Bombyx mori: one gene and its partner. The protein of the gene in region 2 purifies or fractionates together with the protein of the main gene of each other region. This does not show direct contact. Links are inferred from orthologs where the notes say so. Each region holds a gene or a part of one and is shown on either strand. Other genes may lie near its edges.

What was found. Proteins that work in one complex are often made in the same cells at the same time.
Region 1: the proteins of BmDJ-1beta (region 2) and phosphatidylinositol 3,4,5-trisphosphate 3-phosphatase and dual-specificity protein phosphatase PTEN purify together in Homo sapiens (affinity purification with western blotting; 4 studies listed by BioGRID, with this or other methods). This does not show direct contact. The link is inferred for Bombyx mori from reciprocal best matches to the Homo sapiens genes PARK7 and PTEN.

What each region holds. Positions count from the first base shown.
Region 1 is NC_085109.1:13,025,094-13,028,693, reverse strand, and holds the start of phosphatidylinositol 3,4,5-trisphosphate 3-phosphatase and dual-specificity protein phosphatase PTEN, read right to left. Parts: upstream 2,520-3,600; 5' UTR 2,106-2,519; coding exon 1,868-2,105; intron 1-1,867. UniProt on the Homo sapiens protein: Dual-specificity protein phosphatase, dephosphorylating tyrosine-, serine- and threonine-phosphorylated proteins.
Region 2 is NC_085129.1:16,172,646-16,176,616, forward strand, and holds the start of BmDJ-1beta (DJ-1 beta), read left to right. Parts: upstream 1-1,077; 5' UTR 1,078-1,079; coding exon of another isoform or gene 1,080-1,083; coding exon 1,084-1,170; intron 1,171-2,209; coding exon 2,210-2,329; intron 2,330-2,768; coding exon 2,769-2,883; intron 2,884-3,254; coding exon 3,255-3,400; intron 3,401-3,947; coding exon 3,948-3,971. UniProt on the Homo sapiens protein: Multifunctional protein with controversial molecular function which plays an important role in cell protection against oxidative stress and cell death acting as oxidative stress sensor and redox-sensitive chaperone and protease.

The DNA of each region.
Region 1 (3,600 bases), on a different chromosome or scaffold from region 2:
AATGGATAATCCAAATATTTTAAAATTAACTATATTATGCAAGTTGTTAATTGATTCATTTAATCAACATTAATATTGTTTTATTCTCTATCAAACTGGATCGCACATTTATTGTGCGCCACCTGGCGTACGCTAATGGTACTATTATAGAAACTCACCATGAACCTTGCCATGAGCTACAAAAGTAACTACAAAATTTCAGTTCACAAACAAAGATATCAACAGATTTTCTCTAATTACAATTAAATTATATCTTAAATCATAATTTCTGATATTATTATAATATAGATATTTATTTTGTTTAAATAAAAAATATTAAGATCACCAGTTCCGCAGGGATGAAATAGGGTTTTCTGTATAGATACAGAATAGGAAATTCTGTACCTACAAAGACAGTTCTTCTACTACTGTTTTCTACAAACACTCGACGTGGCATGTAATACTCTTACGGGATTAAAGATTCCAACTTTAGATAAAGTTATAAAGTATGTCCATGGGCAGGTGTAGCTGTTTGCCAATCTATGGCATCAGCTAATTTGTTGGTCTGTGTACTGATTACAGACACGGCCGCCATACCACCAACCATACCAGACATAATCTACTATAATGCAAATTAAAAAAAATCCATATCCATCATATATTTTTAACTGTTCATGAAGTTTAATTTGTAATTTTTATTCATATTTATTTTCAAATAAGTTTTGTTTAAATGTTTTTCTTTTTTCTAAATTTTAATCTACTCACAGTCATTTTTTTTTAATAAAATTCTCAGCATACTGTCGATAGTGTAGTTCTTTAAAGTACACTACCACACTATATGTACACACATATTTTGAATATCTTCAAAATAAAAGCCTTTAAATTGCCCTATATTTTTATTACATTAATAAAGGTAATTCAAAGCTTTCATTATCATATTACATTAATGTGTATGAATAATTAATACACAAACACTATAACCAGGTATTCCATGACGCACAATCTATCTTGCCCACACATGTCAAAGCAATGCATTAAGATGCAACAGTCCACTTTTAAACCTGCCATTAGTATGCAAATGTGCAAATGTGCTTCAAAAGCATAATTAGTGTAAACATTGCTTTATTCTCACACATTGATACATAACAATGTTATGTGTACGAACACATGGTTAAATACTAGTACTCATATAAAGTAATTGCATATGGTCATAGCAAATCTACTGTCTTCATTACATGAAACTTAGATACACATTTCTAACAGAGCACACTCCACTATCTGATAGTTACTATGTAAACAGTTGGAGTAATCATATAGAACATAATACCTATGTATAAGTTATAGGTTATGTTGGTTGTTGCCATGCCAGATTTTAACAGTTTTGAACAAAAACATTTCTGGTTCGTTTATTATTTGTTTTTCGCACAATTTTAAATATTATTGTGTTATTTTGGAAAAAAATTACAAGGCCAAGATTCATGATCGGCGAATGAGTACTCTTATAGGTGTAAGCTCGAGGCCTTGTAACCTAAGACTATTCAAATAGCTTTTCAAGACACACTCCTACATAATTTAATGTAAATGTATTTTTTTACAAATGCCCTTCTCTTCTATAACCTGAAACATCGTTACATTATCGGGAGAATTTACGGATGTGTTTTTATAGGTTATAATGAGTGCCCTTGAGAGAGCCGAGAGGAACATCACATATCGAAGTAAATTGGATTGTTTCACTTATGACATGACTAAAAGATATATGAAATAAATGAAATAATTTTAGAAGCTTAAACTTCAGTTTCGGAACGGAAAGTACTCACCTTCAACTGAGGCTAGCACACAGAACTCCAACGTAACATTAACTTTTACAGACACTACACAAAAAGGATACAGGCTAAGTCCAGGTTGAATCCGTGCTTGGTGTAGCGTATCCTGCGCTTGCTGACCATATTCTTTATCGGGTTGGTCATCTTGATATTTGACATGGAGTTTGCCATGGCTGTAAAGCGATTCACTGGCCTGGGCAGCAGCTCCGCCGCCGCGCCCTTAGCGGGCCCAACCACTCCCGGCACCGACCGCTTTTCTGGGATCTTCCGCTCTCGGCGCCGGCAGCTCACGCAAACACCCATAAAACGAGTCGAGGTGCTTGGAGCGTGCCCCTCTCATCGGGCCGGCGGCGGAGCGCGAGCGGTGCCCCCGGGCGAGCCCGCGCTCGCCATCCGCGCCCCGCGAGGACCTCCACGCCGCCGCCGGATTGAAGCACCACCACGGAATCGCACTCTACGCACTATATCACCATAGCTCCTAGCCCGTGCGACGACGCTTTTTCTTTTTGATTTATATAAAAATTATCTAGCGCGAATGGCGTCCATCCTGCGATTGCACTGCACTAGAACACGGTCGAGGCGAAACAACTGCACGAGAAATTAAGATGGTTCTGCTGACGGCAGACATCTATATAGCATCTCTTTCATTCGTTCACGTTGTGTATATGTACGACCGAGATGCCACACAACCTTATTTTCTGGTAGTGGTTTCCTAGCTAGCAAAGCTCTTTGTTCCAAAAAGTTTTTGTTTTGTGTCCCAAGGTGACGCTAGTTCTACGTTGGAAACAAGCGCCGAATTCAAATTCTAGCTAATACTCAATGTTTGTAATTTTAATATACATTTTTTATTTTAAAATTTCTTATAATTTTTCATCATGGTTTGGGTTTTTCAGCATTCATTATCAGCATTTACGAAGAAAAAATTTATCTTTGATCTTCTAATTTATAGATGGCGCTTTAACCGATTTCTTATCTGTGATACTTAGCGGGAGAATTTAAATATGCTGATGGTAATATTCGATTTGTAATATCTATGTCATTATTAATTATGTAGTAAATTACGCACTGCGTGTTAATTTACTGTTTGAAGTATACGCCTACTTCAAGTACCTTCGTGTGAGTTTAACAATTAAACACGAAACACAAATCTTTCGTCTTATTTTTTATCATGTATGTACATTACTTACCAGCGATATTCCTATTGAAAATGAAAATAACACTTTACACTATTAAAAAATAGGTATATTTAAATACCTTCCTTTTTAAGTCATCGCAAATGGTTCGCGGTATATACCATTTTCGATGTTTCACTGAGATTTTCACCGTTTCACTGACAAACCACAAGTTGCGCTAATCAAATAGCACGAATAAGTTAGAAGAAATGCGTAAGAAATACAAAATTATTAAAAAACGATTTCATATTACATAGCAAGATAAAAATTGTATCAAGTGATAAAACAGTACCTCTTTCTTAGAAATCGTACCCAGCTCTGGGAACATTGTAATATGAATCGGTCTCCGCGTTTATGAATATAACGTGCAATGTGCAATTCTTATTAGCGTTTGAAAAATATAAGCAGATAAGTACATTTATCATGTTAGTTATAACTTGTGTTTGTTAACACGATACTATATTACTATTTTAGTTATTTATTTTCTATTCTCGTACTATTAACACAATGGATTATTATTGCGAGAGATAGAGATAAGTGTAGGTATAACTAATAAATTCAGTTCATAAGTTCAGCCATAAGTTCTGTTGCAGATGAAAATGCATTTTATTTAATGAAGTATTGTA
Region 2 (3,971 bases):
TTGTTTACATAACAAACTGTGTCCCTACAGGTATATATAATATAATATAGATATAATAATATATTGTTTAGGTTGTCGTGATAGTTTTTTCTAAGACTCGCAACGTTGTTGATGCATCATGTCGTTTTTCGGTTTCAGACATCGTGTCAAATTTATATTCTGTGACGGCTACCGCTGTTTTGTGCGCTTGTAAGGTTAAAAAAGTGTAGGTACCTCCAAATTCTAGTGCTCCTATTAAGGACATAAATAAATCATAAAAACAATTTATGAACCTAAATAAAATTTGCAATGGAAAATGATTTGACAATATGTAGGTCTAAGAGACCACAATATGTTGATGGATGCTAATTGATGGATGCTAAAATATTTGTGGGTGTTTTATCAAGCTAAGTTCATTTCGTTACGGAACCCTTCATAGTGTAGACTGTTATACACTTGACGATATAGGTAATTTTTTACAATGTTTCGAGCATAGATAATTTGTTTACACCATACACAAATAACCTTAGGCCTTAGATGATAATAGTAACGACAATTAATTGACAATACCTACACAATTTCAAAGGCAAAGTAGGTAATTTACTCTCTTATACACAGTCTATTATCTATGTATACTAGTAGGTACCGTACTTAAATTTAATCAGAAATTGTCAACTCGTTCATAATTAATATTTAATTTAGTAGTTATGTACAAATATGTTTATTTAATAAATATCAAGTGTATTATCTATGGTTCTCATGTTGCTGTTGTCATTGTCTACTCGTTCTAATTTATTTTTAAAAACTCTTGCAAATTATAGAGCTTTTAAATCAAGGTACCGAACTGTTTTAGCGGAATTTAATTGCATAAGTGGCGTTAACTACATTCACATTATAATCTAGCCGTGAATCAAGTGAAAATACCTACCAAAATAGAGGATACAACAAATTGAACCGGCATTTAATTACCTTTAAGAAAACTTTAATTATACTTTTATCGTAATACCTACTGATTACATAATACAGAAATAAAAACTATGTAATTTGTTGTTTGCACACTACATGCTTTTCTGTTTTATATTAGTTTATTTTCATTTTAGAACAATGAGCAAGTCTGCGTTAGTGATTTTGGCGCAGGGTGCAGAGGAGATGGAGACAGTTATAACTGTTGATATGCTGAGACGAGGAGGGGTTTGTAGTCAATTAATTCATTAAATCCGTTGACTGAATTTCCTTAGTTGGATTGTAATTAGACTTTTGCTAATCGACATATTTCGCCCGTCATGTGGTCTTGACGATCTGATAATGTGATTCCAGATAGCTGACTCTCGCTCGTCAATAAAAACTAACACCCTTTTATCAACTATTCAGTTACAATGGTCGCCGGGTAATCATGATGCTACCACAGCTGTCAATGACAAAGTCTAAAATCTAAATGACAAATAGACCAACACCTCAGCTGATCACTGATTGATAGTATTAGCAATATAATATAAAACTTATAGCCCTAGTCTCCTATTACTATAGAAAATTTAGTGTATTCTAAAATTGCATAATGAAAATCGACCATAAATTATCAAATAGTTGAATACTAGATCACTGCTTAATTGTAAATCTTAATTAAACAATAAAAAGTTACTACTTACTATATACTGATCAATTGCTGTTCTACTCGAATGTGCATCAGTTGCGTAATTGTTGTCCACTCCCAACTGCAACATCATTGAAATAGTTTTTTCATATTATGTTATCATAATGATGTTATGTGTATAAGAGTTATACTATGGTATTGGTTTGAACACTAAGGGTAGGATTGAAATCATGAATCTTTAAAATATTATAATACTCGGAGAGCATCCATACTCATAAAGAATATTTTTACCTTTTTATCATTATCTTAAAGGACGAAATCCATAGAATTTCAAAGAAATTGTATCAGGAAAGGAAGTGAAAATGAATTGGCTATGAACAATAAAAGATACTATATTGCTAAAACAAAAGGACATTGTATCTAAATGATTTACAAAAGAGAAGCTGCCTTTATTGGAGGACGAACTCCCAGGTCTCACAGCACACCTGCACACAGCTCATGCTCATTGCAGATTCCATAGTAAACAAAACAAAGGTTACATTCTATACCCATGAGAAGGAATATCATAGTGGTATTCTAACCAATGAGTAATTTATTATTAAGCTTTTTTCTTATTGAAAAGACCTTATTTCCCCATAGGTAACAGTTACTCTAGCTGGCTTGGAAGGTTCATCTCCTGTGCTGTGCTCAAGGCAAGTGACTCTAGTACCTGATAAGTCACTGACTGAAGCCCTCGCTGAGAAACAACAGTATGATGCTGTGAGTATCCTTACCGTTATCTTATACAGCAAAGTTCATTTGCAACTGCAGAAACTACATCATTTCTAGAAAAAAATTACAATAGTACACCCAATTTCTATGTTAACATAATTTAGAACCTGAGAACCTTAGAACCTAGAATTATGCACCCCAGTTGTGATTTTAATGGCTAATGATTCTGTTCTATTAGGTTTATTAAACATTTAGACGTAGCATAGGCATGATCCAAAATAAGATTAGCTAGTGACAACCCATAATAACCGGGGCACGAGTCACGACCATCACCTAGCCACAAATTAGATTCCCTGTCTTGCACCACCGTTTCAGTTGAAGTTGAAGAAAATACTTGGCATCATCAACTACAATGAATGTTACTTTGACAGGCGTTATATAGCACTGCAGGTGTCACCTATAAAAATAAATAATTTTCTCCAAACAGGTGATTCTACCAGGAGGCTTAGAAGGATCAGACAGTCTCTCCAAATCCGAGAAGGTTGGTGCTCTGCTTAAAGACCACGAGGATAATGGGAAAATCATTGCTGCCATTTGTGCTGGTAAATGAATTACTAAAAATTTTTTTTAAGTTTGCTTCCAATTGAGTTTGGAATACTAATGTTACCAATGGATGTCATCATCATCATCATCATCACAACCGACACCTCCTCGCCACTCCTCACCCGTTCCCAATGGATATACTAATTTTAAATTTCTAAACTACATGTTGACTTATTAATATTTTGTCCCGGTAAAGTCAACAATAAGTACAGTTGATTGAATAAGCCAATAGAAACATTTGTTTATAGACATAAGAGAATTCTCTTTCAATAAGCAACTACGTAAATAAAATATTAAAAACTATCTAAGGAAATATCGCAACATATATAATGTCACAGACATAATATGTAATTAAATGTTACATTGGCAGCTCCCATAGCGTTTGCAGCCCACGGCGTGGCGAGGGGCCGGCGCGTGACGTCATACCCCAGCACCAGGGACAAGCTGTCGGCCGGCGACTACACGTACGTGGAGGGGGAGAGGGTGGTGGTGGACGGCAACGTGGTCACCAGCCGGGTCAGTGATCTTATTATAAAGCTATAGGGGTTAAAGTATGAAATTGCCGTTCTATTGTAATAGGCACTCCAAATTGACATAGAACTTTTGAGTGAAACTTTTTTCAAATGGTACCTATAGGGTTCTTCTTTTGAAAAATGTGCAACATTCGATTATCGATTTTTAGTAGTTGACTCGATTCATGAATCGATCTTCACCATTATTGCTCCATGATAACGCGAGACCTCATACAGCACGAGAAACCGTTTTAACTCTACAGGAACTGCAATTAGGAATCATTTGTCATCCTCCGTATTCGCCAGACCTTGCTCCAACGGACTACCATTTTTTTCGTGATTTGGACAATTTTGTACATGGTAAAGAAAAACTTCGCAGTTTGTAGAATCTAGATCACCAGAGTTCTATCGCAAATAAATGACTTTCCTATTAGATGGCAGCAAAGTATAGATAATAACGTCATCAACAGATGACGTGGATTGATCAGTATGAGGGTCCCCTGAGGTCACGCTGTCCCTCCCTGTGTAACGCGGTCCTGTATGTTCCCCAGGGTCCCGGCACGGCGTACTGGTTT